6 linked regions of the Oryctolagus cuniculus genome follow. The protein of the gene in region 5 interacts with the protein of the main gene of each other region in a pairwise test. Links are inferred from orthologs where the notes say so. Each region holds a gene or a part of one and is shown on either strand. Other genes may lie near its edges. The genes, in order: PAK3, ARHGDIA, CDC42EP1, MYO9A, CDC42 and PLEKHG4.

The links.
Region 1: the proteins of CDC42 (region 5) and PAK3 interact in a two-hybrid assay, tested with the Homo sapiens proteins (2 studies listed by BioGRID and IntAct). The link is inferred for Oryctolagus cuniculus from reciprocal best matches to the Homo sapiens genes CDC42 and PAK3.
Region 2: the proteins of CDC42 (region 5) and ARHGDIA interact in binary tests that used the Homo sapiens proteins (3 or more experiments, as listed by UniProt). The link is inferred for Oryctolagus cuniculus from reciprocal best matches to the Homo sapiens genes CDC42 and ARHGDIA.
Region 3: the proteins of CDC42 (region 5) and CDC42EP1 interact in binary tests that used the Homo sapiens proteins (3 or more experiments, as listed by UniProt). The link is inferred for Oryctolagus cuniculus from reciprocal best matches to the Homo sapiens genes CDC42 and CDC42EP1.
Region 4: the proteins of CDC42 (region 5) and MYO9A interact in a two-hybrid assay, tested with the Homo sapiens proteins (3 studies listed by BioGRID and IntAct). The link is inferred for Oryctolagus cuniculus from reciprocal best matches to the Homo sapiens genes CDC42 and MYO9A.
Region 6: the proteins of CDC42 (region 5) and PLEKHG4 interact in a two-hybrid assay, tested with the Homo sapiens proteins (2 studies listed by BioGRID and IntAct, with this or other methods). The link is inferred for Oryctolagus cuniculus from reciprocal best matches to the Homo sapiens genes CDC42 and PLEKHG4.

Annotation. Positions count from the first base shown.
Region 1 is NC_091453.1:82,428,105-82,432,589, forward strand, and holds the start of PAK3 (serine/threonine-protein kinase PAK 3), read right to left. Parts: upstream 3,233-4,485; 5' UTR 2,403-3,232; intron 1,589-2,402; exon of another isoform or gene 1,423-1,588; intron 1,304-1,422; 5' UTR 1,198-1,303; intron 1-1,197. UniProt on the Homo sapiens protein: Serine/threonine protein kinase that plays a role in a variety of different signaling pathways including cytoskeleton regulation, cell migration, or cell cycle regulation.
Region 2 is NC_091448.1:1,032,166-1,036,635, reverse strand, and holds ARHGDIA (rho GDP-dissociation inhibitor 1), read right to left. Parts: upstream 3,121-4,470; 5' UTR 2,988-3,120; intron 2,648-2,987; exon of another isoform or gene 2,517-2,647; intron 2,316-2,516; 5' UTR 2,292-2,315; coding exon 2,102-2,291; intron 2,012-2,101; coding exon 1,928-2,011; intron 1,803-1,927; coding exon 1,726-1,802; intron 1,650-1,725; coding exon 1,586-1,649; intron 1,380-1,585; coding exon 1,180-1,379; 3' UTR 379-1,179; downstream 1-378. UniProt on the Homo sapiens protein: Controls Rho proteins homeostasis. Regulates the GDP/GTP exchange reaction of the Rho proteins by inhibiting the dissociation of GDP from them, and the subsequent binding of GTP to them.
Region 3 is NC_091442.1:114,476,617-114,481,262, forward strand, and holds the start of CDC42EP1 (cdc42 effector protein 1), read left to right. Parts: upstream 1-1,674; 5' UTR 1,675-1,829; intron 1,830-4,646. UniProt on the Homo sapiens protein: Probably involved in the organization of the actin cytoskeleton. Induced membrane extensions in fibroblasts.
Region 4 is NC_091443.1:111,243,284-111,246,732, reverse strand, and holds the end of MYO9A (unconventional myosin-IXa), read right to left. Parts: exon of another isoform or gene 2,960-3,449; coding exon 2,520-2,959; 3' UTR 653-2,519; downstream 1-652. UniProt on the Homo sapiens protein: Myosins are actin-based motor molecules with ATPase activity. Unconventional myosins serve in intracellular movements. Regulates Rho by stimulating it's GTPase activity in neurons.
Region 5 is NC_091438.1:148,727,374-148,732,000, forward strand, and holds the start of CDC42 (cell division control protein 42 homolog), read right to left. Parts: upstream 2,916-4,627; 5' UTR 2,793-2,915; intron 1-2,792. UniProt on the Homo sapiens protein: Plasma membrane-associated small GTPase which cycles between an active GTP-bound and an inactive GDP-bound state. In active state binds to a variety of effector proteins to regulate cellular responses. Involved in epithelial cell polarization processes.
Region 6 is NC_091449.1:50,553,629-50,558,437, reverse strand, and holds the start of PLEKHG4 (puratrophin-1), read right to left. Parts: upstream 3,073-4,809; 5' UTR 2,247-3,072; intron 1,540-2,246; 5' UTR 1,500-1,539; intron 370-1,499; 5' UTR 210-369; coding exon 1-209. Other genes in the region: SLC9A5 (sodium/hydrogen exchanger 5), read right to left, coding at 4,100-4,572. UniProt on the Homo sapiens protein: Possible role in intracellular signaling and cytoskeleton dynamics at the Golgi.

The sequences.
Region 1 (4,485 bases), on a different chromosome or scaffold from region 5:
CAGCAAGCCAGCAGTACAGCTGAGACTTAAACTGCTCCCTAGATGCCCAGACAGAGAACTGCACTTACCTTCCAGGGTAGGGGTTTTCTGCCACCTCCCGTACACAGGGTCCCGCTGGCCCCCGAGGACGGCTATTTTGATTTTTTTTTTTTTCAGGAGGGGCATTTCAATTCACCTTAGCAAACCCATGTAAAATTAAAGCCATCAATCTGCCTAGGCCAGAGTCACGGGTCTCCCACTCCCATTTGGGGCTCTGCCCTCCACCAGCTCATCTCCTTATCCAGGAGGAAGTGGCTGCACATCAAGTTGCTTTTCTTTCCCTTGCTTAGGCCAGTGGGAAGGCTATGGATTCCCTCAACAGCTAGTTCTCATTCTTGGCCCAACCACAGCTGCCTCAATCATCAAAATGTGCTCATCTCATCAGGGAAATCAGGGCTTTGGGCTTTATGGGAAGATGATGGCTTTACATACATGTCTCTCTGGCTTTTCTTGTCCCTACTGCAACTTATCCTACCTACCCCATCTGATCCCACTTACTCCATATGATTTCTAAATTTGATTTTTTTTGGGGGGGCTTTGACCTCATTAGTAACTTCGCCTCTGACCTTGTATTACAATCTCTGATGGCACCGCCTCCCCATCCCTGCATTTATTCCTCATCCCCCTCACCTGTCACAGCAACAACCCACCTTCCCCCAAGACCTCAGCAAACATGTTTGCTCTGTAAACTACTTGGATCTATGACCAGGAAATTCTGTACCATACAGGGATGGTCAGCTGGTGACTATGTTCCTAGGATGTTATGCTCCCTTGCCTGTATTCCCATTGCACAGGAGTCTCCTGTCTCTGTTCAGGTCTCTCCTCCAAGGTCTACTTGCTTGTCCGAAGGCCTGGAGGATATGCTCCTTGACATCCTCAAGGTCTTGCTGGCCTTGGGATTCTCAGCTGTCGACTTTTACCCAGCATACCTCCCAGTGTCTTTGCATCTTGCTTCTTGCATGAAAATGGAGGGGTCTGATATTTGGGGTCCAGAAACCGAGGTTTATGTGGCTGTCTCCAAGCCCCAACCAATTTACCACCCATTACCATATTCAGCCCTTTTGCCCAAAGATGCCCCTGACTGGGCAATTCAAGTACCAGATCACGGATCCTGCCCAATTATGACGTTGCAAATAGCCTAGTGAAAACCGCACTGACCTTTATACCATGCTCATCCCAGAACTGGGCCACAGTGTTTTCACCAACAGGAATGGGCCTCCTTCTGTTCCAACACCTCAGTCATCCAGTTGGCCTGGATTTGAGTCTGCAAAACCATGAGGGGAGCAAGACTAACATGGCTAAAGTCTTCCCTGCTGAAAGCCATTTAAAAACAAATTGCAGTACAACCGCCCCCATCATGCTTCCCAAAGCCAAGCCACTCACCCTTCTCTCCTTCTCTTCTACAGACCACAGTCCAGAACCCTCAAGTCCAGAATCTGGAACTGGATTCTGGAAGGTGGGTTTGGGGGGTGGGGAGTGAAAGACAAGTGGGCCCTGTGGCTCCCTCCTCAGGAAAACTATCCTCCCCATGGATACTGCCACTTCACCCCTTAAACAACACAGAGGGAAGAGAAAACTGTCAGAGTCAGAATCGAAAATGTTCAGTTGGCCCCGAAGTGCGGCAGCAATCTTGTCAGAGCCAGTTCAGAAACTGAGGGGGGCGGTGGAGATAGTGCACCCAATGACCTCGCTCCCCAGACAAAGACAGAGGAGGCCAACGGAGGGACCCTTGGTTTCTAGGGCCATTTATTGCATCACTTCAGTTCCCACAGGAGAAAAAAAAAGAGTCCTCATGTCATTACCATCCCCCCACCAAAAAAAAGGGGGATAGGGATAAAGAAAAATAAAAGCTAGGGGCAAAGGCACGCGTTTCAAAAAATCGTCACTTTTTCTGTTCTGTTGGCTCCAGTAGGGCTCTTCAGCCGTGGACTTGGCTGGAGCGCGGCCACACCCCCTCCCCTTCCCGGGGATGGGGGGTGGCTGCTGTCACGGCTACTGTGGCTGGGGAGGGGGTGCGGGAAGAAGGTAAAGACTTACAGGCTGACGTAGCTTTCAGAGCTGATTCTGCCTCAAGCGGCCCAGGCCCCATTAAGCGAGTCTAGGGTTTGCCCAAGCGAAGAAGCCCAGGCCCTCCGGGAACGGCCCGGACACACCCACTTGTCCGCGTTCACGAACCAGGATCATGCAAAGTGCGCTCTTGGTCTCAGGGCTCCCGGGGAGCCATGTAGGAGACTCGAGGCGAGGGCTCCGCGGTAGCGTGAGGGGGCCTGGCAAGGCAGAACATCTGCCCAGCATTTTCGCAGAGGCGCCAGCCGTCCCCCCTCCCCCGAACCAGCCCGGGAGCCGGGACTCGCGAGATTTACCTGCCACGGTTCAGCCACCCCGTCAAGACCTTTCCTCTACCTCCGAGCGCTCCTGCAGCCGGGGCTGGGGAGCCGCAGCCCCGCGGCCGCAGCCGCAGCCCCGGGCCCAGCCCGCTCAGCCCGGCTCTAATCCCACCCCCGCACACTGGCTCCAGGCAGGGAGAAGCTGCGGCCCCGCGGTGCGCGATCCCAGGCTGCTCGCGGCCACAGCTGCCCGCCCGCGGTAGGGCTCCTGCTCGGCAACCGCTCCCTAGCCCTTGTCTGCTATGACGTCACCCGGGCTCTGCACCGTACCTAGGCCAATCAGATGGTGAGCATAAAACTAAAATCGCCCTGAGTGGGCTACTGGGGACCAATCTTTTGTTTCCAGGCAGGAAGCGCCTGGGAGGGGGGAAAACTGAAGGGGAGGGGAAAGGAGAGGGAAGGGGAAAGGAGATGGAAACTTCTACACAGTCAGGGTTGTCTAGACGGAGGTGGGGCCGTCAAGAATGAGGAGCACGGGACTAGAGAAGGGGTGGGGGCATTTATGTGTTTTCCTTAACTGCCCCCTTAGGAAGACTGGGCTCTCTGATAAATTTTCAGAGCAGGAAATCTATCCAGCTACAGGGGCATACTTGCTAAGGGGGAAATGGTTTGGATTTGGGACACCACCTGTCAGGCAAGCAGGTGACGTTGGTGGAGTCTCTAGAGTGCACAGAAAACTCCAAGAAGCAGACTCAGCAGTGGGGTTCAGAGAAGGCAAATCTGCATAGGGAAGATGCTATTCTGCACAGGAAACGCAGCACGTTTCAAAACAGAGCATTACACAAAAACAAACCAAAAAAAAAAGAATTAATCTGTGCATACTTTGATGAACGTGATTGTATACACCTTATGTATGCTTTTTTTTTTTTTCACTAAAACGGGATTCTCCATGTCCATCCTTTCCCCCCAAATCTTCAATGGCTTCTCTTCTTTTTAGGGCACAGTTCAAATGTATTTTAGAATTTTTTAGAAAAAAATAGTATTGCCCAAAAGCCTTCTAAAATATCAAATCATCCTTTGCTACTTCAAAATCCATACTCCCCAGGATTTGGCTATATTATGTAAATTGTGGTAAATCCCTGGAAGGAAAGAGTAGATTGTCATTAAAGAAAAAAGTTAAGTAAAACAAAGAGTAAGCCATTCAGATTATAACAGTGTAAAATATGCCTTCAGAAAATAATCATAAAATTGCTTCAATCAGTAAGACTATGGATGATTTTCCTCTCCACTTTGAAACTTTAATAAAGACAAATATATCCTCACATACTTGAATGGTCAAAATGGGTAATGACCCTTCCTCATGCACTTTTATTCAATTTTCTCAACACTACGTAGCATCCAGCAATCATTTCTCTGTCATGCCAGCAAAACAAATTCCAAGACCAAGAGTGAAATAAAATATCTGCCCAGAGATCTTTAAGAAAAGTCTTATAATAGATCCCCAGATCCACCAAAAAAGAACATCCCAGGCAAATGAAGAATGGGATGCTTCCCTTGGACTAATTCATTTTAAATTCTGATGATACAGAGAACTGAAAAAAAGAGCAATGGCCAGGGCTGGCATTATGGCACAGCGGGTTAGGCCATGGCTTGTGATACTGCCATCCCATATGGGCACCGGCTTGAGTCACAGCTGTTCCACTTCCAGTCCAGTTCCCTACTAATGTGCCTGGGAAAGTAGTGGAAGATGGCCCAAGTGCTTGGGACCCTGTCACCCACATGGGAGACCCAGATGGAGTTCCAGGCTCCTTGTGGCCATTTGTGGAGTGAATCAGTAGATGCGACATCTCTCTTTCTCTCTCTCTCTTTCTCTCATGCTGCCTTTCAAATAAATAAATAAATCTTTTTAGAAACCCAACTCGATCTGTGACAAAACAGGAAAGAGAGAGGCAAAGACTAAGTGAACTGATATAATCTAGACTGTTTTTAATGGGTCAATTAGCACATTTTATTTTCCTTAATTAAAATATATATTTATGCATACATAAGTATTACATAAACATTGTAGAAAGTGGCAGAGATGGGATTTGTATCTAAGTCTCCCTAAGTCCAAAGCCCA
Region 2 (4,470 bases), on a different chromosome or scaffold from region 5:
ACCCTGGCACAGGTGTGTGGTCAGAGAAAGTGGGTGCCCCGGCCACGCCAGCCCTGCAGGCACAGCAGGTGAGAGCAACCTCAATGGCCACGGGTCTCTCCAGGTGCCTGGGCTGCTGCCAGCCCCCCCCCCCCGCCCCTGTACGCCTGGGGGCAGGAACCCTCTCCCCCCCCCATCCACTTCCTCCTTGGGCCCCTGCAGGGCCCTGGCTGTGGTCTCCCCTGCCTGCACCCAGCCCCGGGTCCATCCCCTGGGCTAACAGGGCCAGAGGCTGGACCCCATCGTGTAGGGCCCCTGGGCAGACTTCTGCCCCAAGTGTCCCATGGTTTCCCGCGCCGTGGTCACCGCCCACCCCAAAGAGGGCCGAGCAGACGCGGGTCCTCGGGGCAGTTTATTTCCCAATTGGGGGAGGAGAAGCGGGGGCTCCTGCGGCTGTGGAGGCCGAGCCCGGCAGACGCCACACGGAGACTGGGGGGAGGCACGGGGACGGCCCCCAGCGGTGTGCACTTGGTCCCAGGTTTGTCCTGCAGGGTCCGGGAGGGCCCAGGACGGCACGAACAGAGGCAATAAATACTGCGGCCCGGAGAGCAGGAAGGCTCGGCCGCACCGTCTGCCGGGGGCTCTGCGGGGGAGGGGTCAGTGCTGGCCGCTGGGACAGGGCAGGCGGAGGTGTGGGACGCCTGCCCCCCCCCCACGGGACAGAAGTGCCTGGCGTTTGGCAACGTGGCCCGCCCCAGCGGCCGGGGGACAGGGGTCGGCTGGCCAGGCCAGGGGGCTGGGGGGCAGGGAGGCGGCACTGGCGCCCCTCCCCTGTCGCGGGGGCGGTGGGCGGGGCAGACACGGGGAGTGAATGGCAGCTCCCGGGACGCATTCCACACGTTAAGGCATCATGGTTAGACGGTACTGAGCGACAGATGAACTGGCCGGGGAGTGGATGGGGCTGCCTCACGCACCCCAGCTCCCGCGCGGCCGCCCCGCTCCCTCCTAAGGGCCAGGGCCGCGGGCGTGGCGGTGGGGGGGGACCTGGGGAACACAGCGGGCAGGGAGACTCGGGCCGGGCCTCCCCCGGCAGCACAGGCAGAAGCAGCAACGGCAGACCACCGCGGGCGGGGCCTGTGGGCGCAGGAGGGCCAAGGGGGGAGGGCCGCGGGGGCCCTGTCAGCACTTCGGTGGGGGGGCTCAGTCCTTCCACTCCTTCTTGATGGTGAGGTTCCACTCCCAGGACAGGTGGTCCGTCTTGTCGTCGTCCGTGAAGCGGGACCTGATGTTGTAGCTGCCGCGCGCCAGCATGCCCTTGGGCGCCTCCTCCATGGGCGTCAGGAACTCGTACTCCTCGGCCCGCGGCCCGTAGCTGCCCACCATGTAGTCGGTCTTGTCGACTGCGGGGCGCGGGGCGCGGTCAGCGGCGCGGGGCGTGGCCTCGGCGCCCCGCCCTTCCCGAGGGCGTGACCAGACTGGGCGTGGCCTCAGGCGTCCCTCCAGACCCTTTCCCACGGGGCGTGGCCACTCCTGCCCCCTCCCCAGGTCTGCCCCCATTCGCTCCCGGGGGCGTGGCCAGACGCGGGGCGTGGCCACGCGCACTCACTCTTGACGCCTTTCCTGTAGGTGTGCTGGATGTACTTCATGCCGGACACGATCTCTCGGTTCACCTGCGGGCGCCACAGCGGGGGTCAGCGGGGTCAGCGGGGTCAGCGGGCCCACGCCCCCGCGGCGCGCCCGGCCTACCCGGAAGGAGATCTTTATCCGGTACTCCACGCCCTCCTTCAGCACGAACGACTGCTTCTTGAAGCTCTCCAGGTCTCCTGTGCGGGGAGCACACGAGCGCACTTCCGCCAGGGCCCGCCAGGGGGCAGCCCCGCACCACATCACTTAGCGGAAGCAACAGGGTGGCAGCCAGCCCCACCCAGGGCCGCGGGCGCCCACTCACCGGTCAGGTCCAGCTCCAGGGGGCCCGGGGCCGTGCTGCACACCAGGGTCAGGCGGGTCACGACGACGTTCGGCACGCTGGGGTCTGGGGAGAGCCGGCCGGTGAGACCCCCGCCCGCCGCGGCCGCCGGGGCAGGCGAGGGCGGACAGGTGCCCCGCGGCCACACCCACTCACCCGCGGACACGGCCACGCGGCCCAGCAGGGCCTCCTTGTACTTGCGCAGGCTCTCGTCGTCCTTGTCCAGCTCCTGGATCTCCTGGATGCTCTTCTGCGCCGGCGGCTTGTAGTTGACCGAGTGCTCGTCCTCCTCGTTCTCCGCCGCGATCTGCGCCAGCTGCTCGGCCGTGGGCTCCTGCTCAGCCATGCTCGCCGCTCGCTGCCTGCACACCTGTGGGCGCGCAGGGCTGTGGCCGCCGGCAGCCGCCTCCCCCACCACGGCCCTCCCGCGTCCCGCGGCCGCCCTCGCCCGCAAGGCCTCTCCTGGCGCCCGCGCGTCGGGGCACGAGGGCCACCCCACGCCGAGGGGCTCGGACCCGAGATCCGGGAGGGGCTGCAGCGCCCTGCGCGCCCCGGAACCCTGAGCACCCACCGGCTCGCTCCGGGCGGGGCTGGAGGCGGTCAGAGCGCAGCGCACGCACAACGCCCCGCGCACAAACCGGGCCGGCAGCGGCGGCCGCGGGCTACAGCCAGGGCGGGGCCCGCACTTCCGCAGGGCCCGCAATCCGGGCGACGGGCGGGGCGGGGCCGGGGCGGCAGCGCCCGCGGCCCCCGGGAGGGGGCTTCGGGCCCGGCCCCCTGCACGCAGGGCCGCCGGAGCGCGCGCGGGGCCCGGGCGGCCCCCCGCCCACGCCCGCGGCCCCTCCGCACGTGGGGCCGCCGCCCCGCCCGGGCCCGCCCCGCGCCGGCCGCCGCTGTCAGCCCCCGCCCCGCCGAGACCCGCCGCGGGCGCAGGGCGGGGCGGGCGGGACAAAGGCGGCTCCTCCCCCGCGCCGCGGCCGCCGCCGGCGCGCCCGACCCGCTGCCCACCCGCGCGGCGCTCGGCCCCGCAGGGGCCACTCACCGGAGGGCTCGACCGCGTAGCTCTCGCGCTCCCTCCCGCAGCAGATGACGAACGTCGTCCGCCGCCCCGCCCGTCCGTCCGCCCGCCCGCCTGTCACTTCCGGGGTCAACGCGACTTCCGCTCTCGGCGGGCGGGCCGGCGGGGCTGCGCATGCGCGGCGGGAGCGCTGCGGCCAGGGCGCGTGCGCTGCGGGCGCCATCTTGCGGGCCGGGCCTCGTGGGCGCTTCCCGCTGGGCGGCGTGGTCCTCGAGGTGGGCGCCCGAGGGACCAGGACGCCTCCCGCGCCAGCCACTGCGAGGCCCCGCGGTCGGCCCTGTGGGTCGCCAGGCGGGGGGACACAGCTGCCCACTGCAGCGGCAGAGCGGGGGGGGGCGTCGTCAGGACCCCCGGGGTGGACTAGAGCCTGAAGCTTGTCCTTTTCTTTCTTTAATATTTATTTATTTGAAAGGCCGAGTTAGAGAGGTCAGATCTTGCCCCCGCCGGTTCACTCCCCAGGTGCACGGTCCAGGCCTCCCGCGCGGGAGACGCGAGGGGCTTGGCCCGCCCCGCCGACAGCTGCTGCAGGCGTCGGCGAGCCCCTCGGCGCCCTGGCTGGGGCTGGCACGGGACCCCCCAGTGCAGCCCCCGGAGCTGTCGGGGCCTCGACCGCGGCCCCCATCTGCTGCTCCTCGGCCGGAATCCGGTTCGGGGCAGCGCTGACCGGCACCGTGGCTCGAGCACCACTCGGGACGGTCCTGGTTGCTCCCTTCCCATCCAGCTTCCTGTTAATGGGCTGGGGGAGATCAGGCGACAGCCCAAGACCTGGGGTCCCTGGCACCCGTGGCGGAGACCTGGGTGGAGTCCGGCGCGTGGCCCTCGCTGGTTGGCTGCTCCCGCCTCCCCTGGAGGTCTCGGGGTTCCCTCAGCTCTGCCGTCCCTGCAGGGTTGGGCGGACCTGGCAGACGGGGCTCCATGGACGTGAGCGCCGGACAGAGGGGTCCCTGGACAGAGGGGTCCCTGGAGCAGGCCGGCAGGGCGACGCCCCGACACTGAATGGGCCTGAGCATCTCCAGCCACTGCCACTGCCCCCGGCCGCACTGCCCCCCCCCCCCCAGGCCGCACTGCCTCCCCTGCTCCCCCCCACACCCAGGGGCGGGTCTGGCTCTGGCTGGTTCGAGTCCCGGCTGCTCCTCTTCCGATCCAGCTCTCTCTGTGGCCTGGGAAAGCAGTGGAAGATGCCCAAGTGCTGGGCCCCTGCACCCGCATGGGAGACCCGGAAGAAGCTCCTGGCTCCCGGCTTTGGATCAGCGCAGCTCCAGCTGTTGGGGCCAACTGGGGAGTGAACCAGCGGATGGTCAAGACCTCTCTCTCTACCTCTCCTCTAACTCTGATTTTCAAAAAAAAAAAAAAAAAAAAAAAAAAAAAAATGGAGTTATCCTGGTTCAAATAAAAACATTGAATGCAACAGGGCCTGCCGTGTATACTCTGTTGCAAGGCCGAGGTG
Region 3 (4,646 bases), on a different chromosome or scaffold from region 5:
GTGTGTCTTACCATCCACCCAGGGCGCCAGTACTGCTGGTTATCCGGGCACGGTCCTAGGCAACCTAGGAGGAGTGGGCAGCCTGCCACAGCGGAGGGCTTTGCGGAAGTCGCTCCTGAGGGGCTGTGGTGATCACACATGCAGGGGCTGGAGACCTGGCATGTGCACCTCAGGCGTTCAATGTGTGCTGGCTGTCACGAGCGCTGGCCGTGGCAAGAGCTGCAGCGGCTCCAGCACTGCCCTCCCAGGCCTGTCCTTGCTCTCAGCTTCTAAAATGCACCTGCCGCCGCCGCTGCCTGCTGCCTCCCACCCCTGCTTTGGGTGCGGGGGGAGGGGGGGGATGGGCAGCCACCGGCCAGCGCCGCCTCCCCCCTGCCCCGTCCCTCCTTCTCGGGAGCAGTCCCCTTCCTGCTCACCTGTGTTCCTCAGGGCCTCCTTCCCGCAGTTCTCCACGGGGCAAAACCCGCCAGGAGTCCATCTCCAGGGAAAGAGCCAGAATGACCTGCTGCACCGCCCGCCCAGAAGCTGGAATGAATGCCATGTGCCTCGGTCTCCCTCCCTGTCCAGCTGGGAAAACCAGCCCCTCCCGCGGTGGCCAGCATGAGGAGGCGTGGCCTCTGGGGACAGTAGGGACCTTGTCTCCTTCACCTGTGTGTAAATACAGCCCTGGCCCAGCCAGGGCAGCACGCGTACAATTTCCTGCCACCACACCTGCCCTCTCCAACGGAAGCCTTGGCACCAAGGCCGTGCTGTGCCGGCTCCTGCCAGGGGTGCGCGCCGCTGCCTTTAGCACTTAACACAGGTGTCACCTGTGGGAGCCCCCACCCCGGCTGCTGGTAGGGGCTTCTCTGGGCAGTGACCCCTCGTGGAGACCAGAGGCCGGCACAGCCACGCAAGGCAGGAGTCACCCATCTGCATCCCCTTTTTGAAGATGGTACAGGGCTCTGGGAGGCCTTGTCCCCTCTGGGGACTGGGGGCCAGGAGCCCTAGGCAAAGCCATGTGAGGCGTGGCCTCATTACCTGTTCTGCAAGTCGTCTGGGTGCTGACAGAGGCAGAGAATGCTCGATGCCTGCTGTGACTGTCCCACTGTTAAGTTGGGGAAATTGAGGCACGGAAGCTATAGAGCAGTGGCCCCAGGCTCCAGACTCCATGACCCCGAGTCCCACACTGCAGCACTCTGGGAGCGGTGGGGGCAGCGTGTGTGGCCAGGTCTGGCCACGCTGCCACCCACAGAGCCTGCAGGGGGGTGGGAAGCATTGGCGGGCTGGCGCAAGGGGGCCGGCTGCCCTCCATTGCAAAACTCCATGTCCACGCAGGTCTCCCGGGCCTTCAAGGATCTGGACCACGCCTCCTCGGTGCCCAAAGTCTCGCGGGGAGCATTCGGAGGGGACCCGGGGCGAGATGACCAGGCCCAAGGCCCCGAGGCTGCGCGGGGAGCTGTTGGGAACGCACTGGCGCGGAGCCCCCCCAGCCCTGTCGCCCGGCTCGCCTCCCCAGGGTAGCTCGCACATTCCCTGCTCGCCCTGCCCCAGGCCGGCAGAAGCCTGGCCCAGCGCCCCCCGCCGCGCCCCTGCAGCTCTCGCGGTGTGGACAGCGCCCGGGACGGGGCCGGGGAGGGGGCCGGCCCCGCCCGCGGGCTGAGGGGAGGGGACGGGAGGGAGGGCGGGGAGGCCGCGCGCCCACACCCCGCCCCCGCCCCCGGATCCAGCCCGCCGAGCCCGCGGCCAGGGCGGTGCAGACCGGCCCGGCGACTCTCTCGGGCTGCGCGCCGGGACGCGCAGCCACCGCGGCCCACGAGTGCGCCCGCCCCGGGACTCGCCGAGACCAGGTAATCGCCGACGGCCCACTGGGCGCCGACGCGGGTCGGGGTCCGCGGCAACCCCCGGGAACTCCACACCCTTCGGCGACCTCGGGGGGCCGGGCCGGGGAGGGTCTGGGCCCGCGGGAAGCGCGCGGTGCCAACAGGAAGGCCCGGAGCGTCGCGGCGCGGGCAGGCACGCTCCGAGTTTTCGGGCTGTTTGGCAAAGTCCCGGGCGGCGGCGGCGCGGGGAGCGCTCCTGCGGGCAGAGGCGCCGAGCCCAGGCCGTCTGCGCTGCTTCCTGCGTAGGGGCTCGGAGGGGGCGACGGGCGGGACGTGGGGCCCCGCGGTGCGGGCCGACGCCGGAGCGGGAAGTGGAGGGGGGGCCGGCGTAGACCAGGCACCCTGCCCCCTCCCCAGCCGCCGCCGCATTCCAGGCTGGAGCCGCGGATGAGGTCATTCCGGCCGGTTCCCCTCCGGCCACGACAGCCGGCCGGCCCCTTCCCCGCGGAGCGCCCCTCCGCCCCCTGCCTTCCCTGGTCCTCCGGTCCTCCGGTCCTCCAGAGCGAATGTTTAGGGCGAAAGTCTTTCCCGGACCTCACTCTTGGCCGGGTCCCAGCCGGCTGTGCCCTGGCCCCAACTGTGAGAGACCCGCCAAGTTGGAAGCCCATTTTCCGGACGGGCAGGCTGAGGATCAGAGAGGCGCTGGGACCCGAGACCCAGCTCTGACTTCGGGTGGTTGGTGGCGCAGGCCCCCTTCGCGCCTCCCCGGTCTCTCTGGGCTCCCTCTTCCTCCACCTTGGGGCAGGAGAACTGACTGCCCCCCTCTCTGGCCGCAGCTGCCCTGCCCCCCCCAAGCGGCTTGGCTCAGAGGGGCTTGAAAAGGAGTTAACCCCCTCCCCCTGAGGTCATAGCAGGTTTGGGGGGCCTGCTGTCCTGCGGGGAGGGTGTCACCCCGCCGGGCGCCTGCAGCCTTGTGCACACTAGCGGTGGCCTCTGGGGTGAGACGTGGCACTGCTCAGGACACAGCCGCGTGCCGGTGACCTCTGGGTGACAACTGGGCTGTGGGGCCACCACCTCCCCAGGGCTCAGATCGTCCCTAGGCCTCCACAGCGGCCCCTGTTGGCCTCTCTGGTGCCGCCCCCCGCCAGGCTCCTGCACTTGCTGGCCTTATACCTGGCCCAGCCCCTGACTGTCCTGCAGGGTGAGTGGAAGGACCCGGGCACACGGTGACTGCGTGGCGACCGCGCTGGCCACGACGCAGGCACTGAGCTGCAGAGACACAGGCTCCCGCCCTCCGGGTGCTGGGCACCTGCGCCTCCACCACCTGTGCCCCCTCCCCCGCAGACTCCACCCCAGCCCTGGGGCATTTACTGTCGATGTTGGCGCCCAGGCGCGCCAGGCGTGACCCAGGGTAAATCAGGCTCCATTCTGAGCCTCGTTTTTCTCACCTGCAAAATGGGTGCTGCGACCATTCACAGGTAGAATTCCTGCGCTGGGGAGGGTAGGAGAGCCCTTCCCTAGGACCCCCAGAGCCCAGCTTCCTTCTGTGCCGGTGGGGCACCCCGATGGCCAGCGGCGCCCTTGTGGTCAGCTACCCCCAAGGGTCTCCACAATGAGGTGTAGGATTTGAACCCAGAGCTGCCCTGCCCCAGGATCTAAGGGCTTGCTGAGAACATCATCTCTCCTTACGGCTGCCCTGGAGGGGACCCATCTGTGATGCGGTGCCCGGGCCTCTGCTGCACTCGGCTGGGTGGGGCGGTGGGGGTGACCCTTGGGAGGTGTCCAGAGGCACCTGGGAGGCTGGGAGGAGGCCGTGCTTGGGGGTTGCGTGGAGCTGGAGCCCCTTTTGCTGGGAGGGGAGGGGCTGCCTTGAGAAGCCTGGAGTTGGGGTGAGGGTGAGGTGGGTGTGGCCACAGGGCCAAGCCCCCACCAGGTACCTGCCACGTGACCTTGGAATGGGCCGCAGGGCTGCTGGGGAGCGAGGTGACATCATGGCACCGCTGGCCAAGTGCAGAGCGCTTGGTGACCTCAGCCACATTCCACGAGGACACGGCGGTGCCTGGGGTGCCAGGGGGAGGATGATTCAAGAGGCCCCCCAGGGGGAGGAGCCAGCGGGTGGTGGGACGGGCGAGCAGCAGTGGGGGACAAAGCAAGCTTTGTCCGGTGCCTCTTTTGTTGTTATCTTGTTCCTTAACCTATTTTGAATTTCAAATAACAGTCAAAGGGCAGATTTTTATGCTGCAAGAGGTGGAAGTAATTTCTTAAAGAAAAAAAAAAAAAGGTTGAGGCTCCAGGGTAGGTGTCCTTGTCCCTGGCTGGTGGAGGTGAGTGACCTGCCCAGGGTCACCCAGCGGGACACAGCGTCCCCGCCTGCGGTCACCGCTCGCTCGCCGGGAGGGTGACCTGTTGGCTCAAAGCTTATCACAGAGCTCCCCTGTGAGGGAGTTGGCGGGGATCCGGGCCTGGCCACGTGGATGAGCCAGGCTGGCTGGGGGCCTTGGTGTGTCCCAGGCTCTGAGTTCAAGTTGCGACCAGCTGTCGCCACGTGACCCAGAGTGGGCTCTGCCCTCTCTGGCCGTGGCCACCAGGGCGCCCTCAGCCCAGGACGTCCTAGGAAGCACCGAGGGGCAGAACCAAGAGACCCTGGGAGAAGGCCGGGGCGGGGGAGAGGGGGCACGGTCGGCTTTCGGCCCCAGCAAGCTTTTTCCCAAAACTTGTTCCTACGTTGGTTGACAAACCGTGATAAAGTCCTTCCTGCAGGCCTTCTCAGAGCCTTGAACACGCACACCCAGGTGCGCAGGAGGCAGCTGGAAAAAGCCACATTTGACCACAGGGTCCTCTTCC
Region 4 (3,449 bases), on a different chromosome or scaffold from region 5:
GGAGCACCTTGTTAGTGCCAGTGAGAAGGCGCGGCCTCCAGGACTGGGATGGCCCACGTGGCAAGCTCCCCACCCCCCCCTGCAGGGCTGAGTGTCCTGGGTGTTTCCCAGCCCCGAGAGGCAACGTGATTTACATGGCACTAAGTACTCTGCAGACTGACCATGGCTCACCTCCCTGAAGCCTGCCTGGATTTGCTGCCAGCCTGCTTTCATCTGCGACACACAAACCCTTCTTTTCTTCTGCTACGTTTCCCACAATACATACGCAGCGTGGAGAGAGAACAGCTTTGTCAGGAGCAACCAGGGCTGGGGATGCGGCATGTGACGGCCGGGCCCTGAGTCTCTCAGGGTGGGCTACAAGTGTGGGGCTGCCCCCCTGCTGCTGGGAGACCAAAGAAAAGAAGGACTAGGAAGCCACAAACGGGACACGTATCGAGGTCAAAGATCTCAGCCCTAGGAGATCACAACGCAGCGTCACTTTGGGGGGACCTAAGTGACAACTGTTACCACAGGAAACAAGTTCTGGGGTCCCGGGTTCGCTGCACCTGCCACCCACAGGACAGCGGCCTGCTCTCCCTCAGAGGGGGCCCCACCTGCTGGACCCTTCCAGCGCTCTCCCACCTCCCAAATGACTGGAAGTCCACAAATCTACTGGAGAAAACATTAGCTTTTATTTAGTTTTTATCCAAATTCAGGTTTTAGGTCCCTGAGCAAAATTATAAAGTCTCTTAGCATCCATCACCTAGTTCCTATAAAGTGACCTATAGTGTAAGTAGTTTTAACTGCCGAAGCCCACACACATTTTACGAGGGAGGACTGGGTGCCAAGAGGTGTTCTCGGGCCAAAGCAAAGCATCCAGCAAGGGTGAGCCCTCTGTCCACGGTGCTTCAGCAACACTGTGGAGCGAGTGGGGAGTGACAGCGCCGGGCAGCACGTCACTGTCCCCGCAATCTGCCACAGCACAGCTCAGCTGGGGTCCCTCGCAGAGAGGCTTCCCACGCGAGGACTCCCCGGAACACCACGGCAGGACGGCAGGCGTCGGTGGGGCATGAACTCAGCACTGACCCGGTTACCATCACCATCTGGAGACCAGGGGGCTCACCTTGCCCAGGCCCAGCTGGCAGCCGCAGCCAGGAGAGCTGCCACCCAGAGGGGCTCCCAGAACCACCGAGCAGTGGCGAGAGGCTCGGTGCTGGGGCACAGCGGGGTTCTGCCTTAACAGAAGACAGGATTCCCCTAACTTGCAAACAGGCAAGTCGGGAAAGCGGAAAAACCAAAACTCGGGTGAGAGACGGCTCTGGCTCTGGCTGAGCAGTGCGTGTGGTGGTTAGACAGATGCATTTAGTAACTTTACAAATCAACATTTCCATGTACTTATCTCCAGGGTATCATGTTTCATTTTTCATAATCATAAATAGCAAAAAACATGTCCAATCCCACAAACGCTAAGATGCTTACAGCATTATTATGACTGAGGTGTATGGGGACCACCGGCGGTTACCAAGAATGGCCTTACTCCTCCTTCAACCCAGCCACAGCCCCCACCTGCGGGAAGAAAGTCCGTGAGGAAGGAGGGAAGCGCACGGTTAAAAAGAAATATGCATCCTATACACAGATATTTACAGTAAACTTCAGTCACAGAATATTAACAAAAATAGCTTCAAGTCGTCCTGGATTTCTTGTCTCGTCTACTTAATACTGCCGGTCTGAGGAAAGGAAGGCGGAAGTTAGAGGGGTCACATTAAAAACTCAGGGAGATATTTTGGCAGCTTTCTAACATTTGTTCATGCAGTGGTGTGCGTGACTGTTTGGGGACGTGACAGGAGGTCGCAGTCTGTGTGGACCTGTGGTGGGCGGGGCGTGGCTGCAGCTCGGTCTGCACAGAGGTAAAGTGGGGGTCAGGGCAGAAGCTTCCTGTGCTGGGACCCTGGGTCTCTGAGAGGCATCTGACGCTGGCCCAGGGAGCAGGGTGGAACGGGGCTGTCCGGGAGCTGAGCCAGCAGTGCTGGCCACGCCAGCAGCACAGACAACACGTGTGCTCTCATCCTCACGCTCCAACGCCTCATGGACACACTGCATGTTCCTCCAGACTACACCACGGAGTGCTTTTCAAAAAAATCTTAAAATAGAGGGCTTACATATTATGTTTATAAACCTTGGGGAAAAATTAGATACACCCCAGCTCCTAACCATCCCAAAATATACCCAAAGGCTTTGCTTTCATGGTTGACAAAGGTGTCTACATTTTCATCCAATGTCAGAAGTCCGAGGGTCCCTCAGGCTCCGAGAGGGTGGAGGAGAGGAACGCACAGCCAACCCAGGGCCCAGGCTCAGGTGGCTCGCTTTAGTGTGGTCTCAAGTCACGCACAGCAGCCGCGGCCGGCTGGCACTGTTCCCAGCAGGCCTCGAGAGGCCTTCCCCTTTGTACAAGAGGTCGCAGCCAGGTGCTCGGGCAAGAGGCGGGGCTGCACGCAGGAGGGACTGCCGTGGATGCGCTGACAGGACACACGGCCACCAGGTCACACCATGAACTCGTGGTTTCCAAAGAGCGCTACCTGTGGTGTGGAGCTGCCGTCGGGGTCCCCAGGCTTCCTGCGCCCCTCTGGGGTCTCTTTGGTTTTCTGAGGTGAGTTTTTCACATTCTTCAACTTTTGTTTGCCCTTTTCAGGGTTGAAAGTGCCTCTGCTGATGAACTGAGGCCTGTCTTCCAGGGATCTGCTCGGGCCCGGCGCTCCTTCCAGGGCCTCTCCGGCGGGGGCAGCTCGGTAGAAGGGAGATTTGGAATAAATCTGAAACCGCTTTCTGGTCCCATGAGATGATGCGGTGGTGGACGGACAGGAAGGGGCCGAGCAGTCCGCTGAAGCCACAGAGGCCGGCTGCTTCCTGAGCGGCTTTCGCGACTTGCCTGAAGGGTCGAGCTTGCCGGAGGCCTTCAGGGAGCTAAGGGCGGAGCTTCTCTCTGAAGAAAAAAGACACCAGTGCTGTACCAGTCCCCTCCGAGGACACCAGCACTGGGCGACGCTTCCCTCTAAAGCAAATCATCGTGTCTGTTCACACAGCAGATGGACTGGCTGGGCCAGGATTTACAGGGCTCAGACGGACCGGCTTGGTGCAGGTGTCCCTGAGCAAACAGCCCACCACCCACTGCTGCAGGCACCACTTCAGAACTGGCGCCAAGGAAGTCTGGCGTTTGACAGTGTCACCAGGAGAGGCCATTTCAAAAATGACCAAGATATGTGGTGAGGTCTGTGTCTCCCTGGGGCATGGGCCAGTTTAAACTCCTTCCAGGGATGGCACTGTGGATGCCAGGTAAAGTCGCCACCTGCGATGCCAACATCCCATGTGGCACTGGTTCATGTCCTGGCTGCTCCGCTTCCAATCCAGCAGTGGAAGATGGCCCAGGCCCTGCACCCATGTGGGAAACTCAGAAGGAGTTCCAGGTTTCTGGC
Region 5 (4,627 bases):
ATTTCTTGAAGCCTGCAGTGTGGCCGGCAGCACTCTAGAGCTGGGGATACAGCAGTGCCCGGGCCAGGCCAGAGCTCTGCCCTCAGGGAACTTAACTGGACAAGAAATGTATCTGGAAGACAACGGTGGACAAGGCTTTATCACAGAAGCCTGGAATGGGGCCCTTACCAACCTGGGCTACAGAGATCCATTTATGGGAGATAAAGGGACACAATGTTAACCCCTTCCTCTCAGGGGAGGGGTCATCACCTGTTCCTCATCCTCTCAACAAGAGAGACCTGCACTAAAAATCTATCTAGGCCAGCGCCACGGCTCAATAGGCTAATCCTCCGCCAGCAGCGCTGGCACACCGGGTTCTAGTCCCAGTCGGGGCACCGAACTCTGTCCCAGTCGCTCCTCTTCCTGCCCAGCTCTCTGCTGTGGCCCAGGAGTGCAGTGGAGGATGGTCCAGGTCCTTGGGCCTTGCACCCGTGTGGGAGACCAGAAGCACCTGGCTCCTGGCTCCTGATCAGCGCGGTGCGCTGGCCGCAGCGCCCCAACCGCAGCGGCCATTGAGGGGTGAACCAACGGAAAAGGAAGACCTTTGTCTCTCTCTCTCTCACTGTCCACTCTGTCAAAAAAAAAATCTATCTATAAATAAAAATACAACTGACTTCTACGTCTAAGCAAGCCTAACACCGCTCACCAGACATGCACGCAGACTGCACCTCAGTGCTTTCCTAACTTGACAGCTCCTGGATGAAAATATCTAATTACTCTAACCACTTCAAAAACAACCAGATCAAAAAACGCCAAGTGGAAAAGGAGACTAATAAAGAGAAACCATCCTTGCAGTGAGAGAAAGCTCCGGACCCTCTCGGCCTCTAAGCCTCCACCTACTCTAGGCCGTATATAGACCCGGCGTAACCAGGCACGTGTCGGCCACAGCAGGCGAGCATTTTCAGGCAACAGTGGGTGTGATACCTTCCAAGTAGTGGACAAGTAACTGCAAAAAGAGCTCATCTGTCATACTCAGTTATCAATCTCTTATCTCCTCAAGTCTAAAAACTTAAACTACCCTGGTACATTTCTAAAGAAAAGATACAAATTTATGTACACGAGGAAAGTTCTCAAATATTGACTCACGAAGTTCAGCAAGAGGCGAGTGTCACAACTGTGCGTTTCTCAAAAGAAAGCCCACCGAGGCTCCCAGCGCATTCAGAAGACCCCCCACCCCGCACCTGGCCAGCTCCACGGCCATCCGCGTCCTGACGCCCACACCACAGAAAGCTCAGGTGAACCCGTCACCCCTTAAGCAATCCATTCATCCGCACAAACGAGACGGGCTGGGAAAGACCTGTTCCGACACGAGCTACCTCCCCGCAGCGCCTACCACAGCTGGAGCAGCTGTGCCGGGCAGTGATCTCTCTGTGCGCTGCGCCTGGCACTCAGGGGAGACGGCCGCGGGACACCTCAAGGGGGACCCATCACAAAGTCGCTAGCAGTAAGTACTGTTTTGGTTCAAAATCCAAAATTAATTTTAATGATAAAGTGTCCAGCAAGCAACGACTGGGTGTAAAAACAGGTTTTCAACATATCCCTGCACGAGTCCACGTGGGTGGGTCCTCCGCCCCCAAGAAGTCCGCCATGGGGGGCGGTGGGGGGTCACAGAGCCTGGGGCAAAGGATCCCCCGGGCCCGGCCCGCTCCAGCAGAGCACGGTCCGCGCGGCGGGGCAGGTGCTCCTGAGACCTTAAACCTCCCCTTTCGGGCGGCGGCAGGAGCTCACCAGCACCTCCGCGCGGGAGCGTGGCAGGGCGGCCGGGGGCACCCACCCGGGACCGCCCGAGGCCCCGCGCGCCGCCGCCCTCTGCGGGGCCCCGGCTTGGAGGAGTGAAAGCGCTCGCCCCTCCGACGGCGATGACGTCATCGTCCACACCGCGTTTCCCCCGGACTTCAAGGGGAGGAAAAAAACAAATGAACAAAGAAAATGTCCCCCCACCCCGCCCCGGTCAGACGACCCCGCAGGCGGCCCCAGGACGGCTCCGCGCGGCGCTCCGGGACCGGCCCGCAAGGGAGGGCGCGACGGCGGGGGAGAGGGCGACGGCGGCTCGGGGGCACCGGGAGGGCGGCGGAGGCCGGCTCAGACCCGCCCCGGGCCGCGAGGCGCAGGCCCAGCCTTGGGCAGTGGGCGAGCTGCCCGCCCTGCCCGCGGCCACGGCCCCGCCGAGGTCGCAATTCCGCTCCCCTCCCCCGCCCGCCGCAAAATGTCCGCGGCGGCGCGCGGCGAAGCAGGAAGTGGAAGCCCGAGCGCGGTGGGCAGCACCCAGCCCTGCCACTCCGGGGCCCGGCGCCTGCCCGCCCGGGCGCCCGCGAGCGGCTCCACGGCCCCCGGCCCGGGACCAGGGCCCCGCCGCCCGCGCGCGGCCGACCGCGGGGACCGACCGCGGGGGAGGGGAGCCGGCGGCCGGGATGGGTGTGACCCCTTCCTTCCGCCGCTGCCCGGTGACAGCCCGGCCCCGCCCGCGCGCTCGGCCCGGCTCCCCGACCCCGGCCCAGCCCGGCTCCGCGACCCCGAGCCCCCCGCCCTCCCCGCCACAAGCCCCTGCCCGCGGCTCCCCCCACAGAACCCGGCCCGGGCGCCTCCGGAGGGCGCAGCGCGAGCCGCGCACTGCCCCGCGCTCCGCGCTCGCGGGCTCCCCGCGGTGCCTGAGCCAGGCTGCCCCCGACGACGGGGACAAGCAGGGCGCGGCGCGGCGGGGACGGGACCGCGGGGAAGCCGCATCCGCGGGGAGTCTCGGGCCCCGCACTCACCTCAGCTTCTCCACCGGGGCGTTGGCAGCACTGCGCGGGGTCTCCTCCGCTGCCGGACAGGGGCACGCACCTGACGTCAGCACGCAGGAGACGCACGGTTGGGTGCCTGCGGAAGTGGGAGGGACGGGGAGGGAGCAGAGGCGTGGGCGGTCCCGGGCGGTGCCTGCTCGCCCTGGCCCCGCCCGCGCCTCGCGCACGCGCAGTCTGGTGCGTCCGTTTGGGCTGTGCTCTGCACGGCTCTTTCCCGTGGTTGTGCTGGCGAGGATGCTGTGAGCTGCGGTGTTCCGAGCGCTTCCGCTGGCGAGTCTTCGGGGCTTTGCAACCTTGTGAAGCAAAGTATTCTCCCTGTTTTCGCAGAGAAAAGGAAACTTCTCCACGAGGGCCTGCGCGAGGTCACCCTGCCAGCCTGGGTCAGGGAGCTGCAGGCTGCTTTACTCTGTCTACACCGCGGTGTCCCTGCTGCAGCCTCCTGGGCCTCCCCGTGCCTCCCCACCACGGGCCTTGCGCCTCCTGCTTGCCCCTCTCGCCCAGGCCTTTGGGTGGCTCGCAGCCCTCAGGTGTTGCCGCTGCCCTGGGCCATCCTGCTGTCACCGCCCCTGCTCCTCTGCTCCCTTCTGGTGCGCGAGCCTCGGGAGAACAGGGCGCTCCTCGGTTATTCTCAGATGTCCCCCAGTGCTGGAGAAACATCGCTGATCTCAGGAAGGATTCCCTTACTGACCCACCAAGGCAGAGGCGTGATTCTGGTAGATCAGTAGGCGTGCTTTCTTTTGCGTTGTCTATGCATGAAGACGACACTTAGAGGGTCTGCTGTAGGCCTGGTGCTGAAGCTTTGCCTGTAGTAGTAGCTAACTGAAAGCACCCAGGATGGCTTCATGGCATAACAGGTTAAGCCACTAGCTGAGATCCACTGGCTCCAGTTCCCGCTGTTCTGCTTCCAACCCAGAGCCTTCTAATGCACCTGGGGAGGTGCAGAGGATGGCTCAAATGCTTGGGCTGCCGCCACCCGTGTTGGAAACCCAGATGTGTTTCCAGGCTCCTGGCTTCCCCATGTGAACCAGCGGATGGAAGATCTGTCTCTCCTTCTGTACACATCACTTTGCCTTTCACATAAATAAATCTTAAAGAAAACACAAAGCCACCCTAGGATATAAGAACTGTTACCCAACCCAAGTCCCATTTATGATGCCTAGACTGAAGTTCAAGCCTGTTAAGGGACTTGCCTGTGGTCACCAAGACTGGCTGTGGCAGCGCTGGGCTTCGGCTCAGGCGGCTGCCTGTAGTTGGCCACCAGGGTTTCCCAGCACAGGGAAGGCTGAGTATCGAGACCAGCAGACGGGAGCCAGCGAGTGGCAGCAGGTTCAGCCACCGCTTACCCTGCTCCTCCTTACTGCAGATCCAGAGTCCCGCCAGTGTCCCGGGAGGCGGCAGATGATGATCCAAGTACTTGGGTTTCTACCACCCAGGTGGGAGATCCCCGTGGAGCTCCGTGCTCCTGGCTGTGGCTGTTGCAAGCATTTGGGGTGTGAACCCGCAGATGGAAGATATTGCTCTCTGTCATTCTGCCCATCAAATAAATAAGCAAATCTTTTCTCTTTTTTTAAGAAAAGAGAGGGATCTGCAGGTGAACTTCAGCAGTATTCTACAGCCGATGACACCAACTGCTGACACACTGGTGTGCACCTTCAAGAACTTTTTCTATGTGTGTACACATTCATTGCACAAAAAGAGACTGCAGTCTGATGGATATATGATTTTATTTCTCAAAACTACACTATGAGCGGCTTTCCTGGTCAAGTGGAACACCATTTGTCAAGGCTGCTTTCCGAGTGTGGGCC
Region 6 (4,809 bases), on a different chromosome or scaffold from region 5:
GCCGCAGCCATCTGTCCTGGGGATAACTGAGGCTCCCCGCACAAGGGGCTGCCCTGTGGCCCTCTGCCCTGGGCTGCTCCCACTGTGGGGCTTGGGGGCTTGGGGTCCTCCTCCCGGGTATCCCTGAAACTGCACACCGTAAACTGCCGGTCGGTGGCATGACTCCGGGGCTCTGGGGACTCACTTCCATCCTCCAGGGGCCCTTCCATCACCCTCCGTAAGGGTGGGGCTGCTCAGGACAAGCGGGGGCTGGGCTGAACCGCGGTGTGGAGGCCCCAGCTCATTCAGGAACCGGGACGGCGGTCTGGTAGGACTCGGCGAGCACAGGCAGTAGGAGATGTTTGGCTTGGTGCCAGCCCACCCGAGGACCTGGGGAGGAGAAAGCACGTCAGGGGTTTCCTGTGCTGTCCAGCCCGCGTCGCGCTCCCAGGAGCCTTTGCCCGGCGGGCCCCACCCTCGGACGCGCCCCCACGGCCACACTAAGCCGGTCGGACGCCCGTGGGTGCGCGTGGCGATGCCTCGTGCTGCCTCATGGCCGGCCCAGCCTGGCCTTGGCCCTTGCGCGGGACCGGAGCGTGCCTTCTCACGCCCCCCGGGGACGCGCCGCGGGAAACCCAGGAGCTCGAGTGGCGGCGCAAGCGGGGCCTCGAACGAACCGACAGCAGCCCCGACGGCGGCGACAGCGTGAGCGCGCGGCGTCCCAGGGCGCCGCCTCCAGGCCACGGGCGAGAGAAGGCCAGGCCGCCAAGGACGCCGCGCCGCCCCCTGGGGGCCGGAGGACGGCACTACAGCCCACCTCGCGGGTCCCGACGGCAGACGGCGCCTGGCAGCGGGCGCCGACCCCTGGCAGCGTCTCCTGCTCGCCACACTCCAACCGCGGGCCGCGCGGCTCGCTCCACCCTGCCCTGCCGCGGGCTCGGCGCGCCCCGCGCTCGGCGTTTCGGCGTCTCGGGCCCCTTGGTGCCCAGGGTGAGTGGCGTGGGGAGCCCGCAGGTGGGTGGTCGCGGAGCTGGCCTGGGCGGGGGCGTCTGCTCACGCTAGGGGGCGGAGGGGAGGCAGAGGGGCGCTGCCTTGTCCTCACTGCCTCAGCAAAAGGAGACCACTCACTCCTCACAGCCCTCAAGGCATGCCCAAAGAGGGGGAAAATGTGAACCCCTGGAGACTCCATAAGCCCAGCCGGCTGCTTGGGGCTGCTGGGGACCAACGGGGAATCCTCCCGGGGGCTGGAAGTGAGGGGCCCTGTATTGCAGCCCCACCTTCCTTTAAGTCCGCAGACCCAGGCGCTGAGAGACAACCCCCTGGGAAAGGGCTGCTCTTCAGGCTGGAGGATGGGTGGGGGGTGGTGAGGGCTCTGTGGTGGGAGCTGACCCAGGCCTGCCAGGCCCAGACCCTCCACCCCTTTGCCCCCTTGCCACGCCTTTCTGCCCTCCCCCACAAAGTCCAGTAAGGCTGGGATCCTGGAGCCAGTGGACTGGCCCAGGCCCGGCTCCTCCACTTACCTGCTGCCAGGTTCCAGGTACTCTTCTCTCTGAGCCTCACCTGTAAAGAAAAATGTCATTCCTCTCTCCTGGGGTTGCCGTGAGGACTAGGGAGACCCCAGATGTCACACTCCCGCTCAGTGTTCCTGCCCTGCCTCCTCTCTCACCCTTAGCCAGGCCATCCTGAACTGGGGAAAGTCCCTTGGAAAGCGGGGAGAGCCCTCCCAGCTCTGACGTTCGGGGTCCCTCTGGGACGTGTGGGCCTGGCCTGCCTTTCCCCCCAGATTTGTGGGGGAGATTGTGAGGAGATGGGACGTGTGACGAGGAGAAGGTGCTGAGTCCCACAGCACGCCCAGACCCCTGGTCCCCGGGCAGGGGGAGAATGGGTGGACTGGCTTCCCTCTTCTAAGGTGGGAGAGTGTTCCTTGTGGACCTGAGCATCAGGAGTAGGTACAGTGGGAAAACAGCAGCCTCCCACCCAGCCCAGCCCCCAGAATCCAGACTCCCACTACCAAGGAGCCTTCTTCATGGCCCGGTTTGGCTTTGAGAGAGGAACCTCAGAGCTGCCCTGCTCCGTCCCCAACCCCTAGCCAGACCTCCCTCCCCACCTCCTCTAGCTTCAGTGAGCACTGGGTCCAGTGCTCCCTCCCCAGCTCTGTCCCAGGGCCGCCCTCACTGAGTCACCAGCTCCTGCTCCCTCCCTCCCCTTCTGCTGCTGCTACCTCTGCCCATTAGCACCCCCACCCCCGCCCGCCCAGGCACACTTACATGAGCTGGGCTAGACCTGCTGCCGGGCACATAGTCCTCCCGATGCCAGAGGCAAAGAGGCCTCAAGCCACAGGCCCTAGCAGACCCTGGCACCTGTGGGCACAGCGGACAGGTTCGGGGACACACTGAGGGGCAGGGCTTAGCCCTGGTTTCTCCACTCCTCATAGAATGTGCATTGTAAGCGTCACGGAAACAGATTACATGTTGTCCACTTCTGTCCTTCCAGCACGTGGCCTGGCGCGGAATAAACGCTCGGGGGTGCCTGAGATGCGTCACAGCACCCCTGCCTTCCTGAGGCTCCGCATCTGTGAGTCGACAGAAGCCAGAGTCACAAGAAGAGAGGCAGATTCAGAGGCCGTGCCTGAAAGGAAGCTGGAGAAGATGCAGAGAGCCACCCAGTGCACAGCCCAGGACGGCAAAGGTACACACAGAAACGGGGACAGACAGGCCGAGGGGAGAACCCTGGGGGGCTGGGCCTGGAGCCAGCCCGGGGCGGTTGACCACAGCAGGCTGTATGGGCTGAGCTTGCAGGACCAAGCAGTGACTCACGAAGCCCATCTCTGTGGCTCTGCTGGCAGCAGAGTCTGCCCTCAGCAGCCTTTTCCACTGAGCTCATAAAACGGGGATGGACTTTGTTCCCATGCCCCTTCCCCACCCTCCCCCAACCTCCCATTCCTTGTCAACATAAACCCAGGCAAAAAATAAAATGGGAGCTGTGGGCCTGCTGATGAGACCCACTGTCATTCCCCTGACTCTGCCCAAAACCTTGCACTCCCCTCTTCAGGACTGCCCCCAACAGGGGGAAAGTGTGGGAAAGGTATGGAGAAGGCCAGAGGGGCTGAAGTCCTGCCTCGTATCTGCTCTCTGTTCTCCGTCCCAGGAGCCCTGGGCCAGGCGGTTGGAAGTTTCCACTTACTCACAAGATGCCCTTGGCACTCCCGCCCCTGGAGCCCACAGACACACGCACACAGGACACCTGTCCATCTGAGAGATGTTTAATGGATGTTAGGCTCAAGGTACAAAACACAAGGCAGGTGCTAACCCCAGGAAAATCACCTGCCACTAGTCAGCCCCCCATTACCACTGCAGCCAGGCATCCCAGCCCCCAGGGCAGTGGAGCAGCGGCCCTGGGAGGCCTGGTTCCTCCCCTGTTTGGGGAAAGCGGAGGTGGTGACACGGGAGCCCAGAGGCCATAGCATCCCCTCCTCAGAAAACCCAGACCCAAGCATCGGGAAAGTCCAGATTGGACTCAGAGCAGCTGATCCCCGGAGGGACCCTGGCTGAGAAGCACCCCTGAACTGAAGCCTGGCCTGTTCCCCTGGCCTTGAACTACTGCCCTGATACCTGGCAGCACAGGGAAGAGCTGAAGCAAGAAGTGGAGGCAGAGAGTTCCACTGCCCTGAAAAAACTGACCGGGTGCCTGACCCTACAGGGCAGTCAGACCCAATACTGAGGCCTGCTCTACCTCCCACCCCAACGCCATGGAGGGCAGGCAGGCCAGCATCTGCTGAGGAGTGATGCCTTTGTTTTGGGTCAAGAGCAGCTGCCTACAGTAACCCCAGGAAGACCCACTGGGGAAGGGCTATCAGCTACCCAAGTCTCTGGACCTAGCCCTTAGAAATTCTGGACTGGGTCCTGAGCCAGGGTAGGTACCTTACTGAAATGGAAGTTGGCAGGGGTTAGGAGCAGGGAGGATGGTGATAAGGGTCCCTGTGAGGACCAGCCCAGGAAACCCTTTTGACCAGCCCCAAGGAGACCCAGTTGCTACTTCAGCCCAGGCCCCTCTGGTCCCATGTCAGGCTGCCCATTGCGCTGAGAACACTACACCTCCTGTTCCTCCCCCAGACCCTGCGCTACAGCCGGCCCCCTTTGTTGAACTGGATGCACCAGTGGGAGTTAGCCGTGCCCGGGCTGAGATGAGTCTGGTCCTTGTGGCCCATGAGGGGCTGCAGCTCCTGCTGCTGGGGGATGTCAGCACTGCTCTCACTGCGGGAGCGGCCAGCCTTGGCCAGGCTGGGGGGAAAGGCAAAGCCAGGGCGGGGATCAGAAAGCAGGTCGAGAGCGGCCCGGGGCTCTTCAGCACCCAGGGGCCGGGGCGGCAGGCGGGTCAGAGTTGGGGCCTGGGTACAGGGAGGGGATGCCAGGCTCTCCAGGGATGAGATGCTCTGGTTCCAGCCCGTCTGCATGTCCACGGGCACAATCTTGGTGGTTTCTGAGGACACATACACCGCCTGGTCCCCCTGCCCACTCTTCCAGGGCAGCTCCTTCTCTGCACAGGTTGGGGACGGGGGGATGATGCGTGGGCTTGGACACACCTCAAAGCTTCCTGGGGACAGAGAATACACACAAGCTTGTTACCAGTGCAGTGCGATCTTTTCGAGTAAAGACACATTCTCATAAGTAAATTCACCCCACAGTTGCCATCAGACATGCATTTGTGATTGTTTGATGAGTGCCTTGCTAAGGGGAAGTGCCACGACTGGTTTTGTTCTCTGTTCTAGTCCCCAGCACCTAGCACAGGGCTGGACACGTAGCAGCTGCTGGGGGCTGGTGTGTGGCCCAG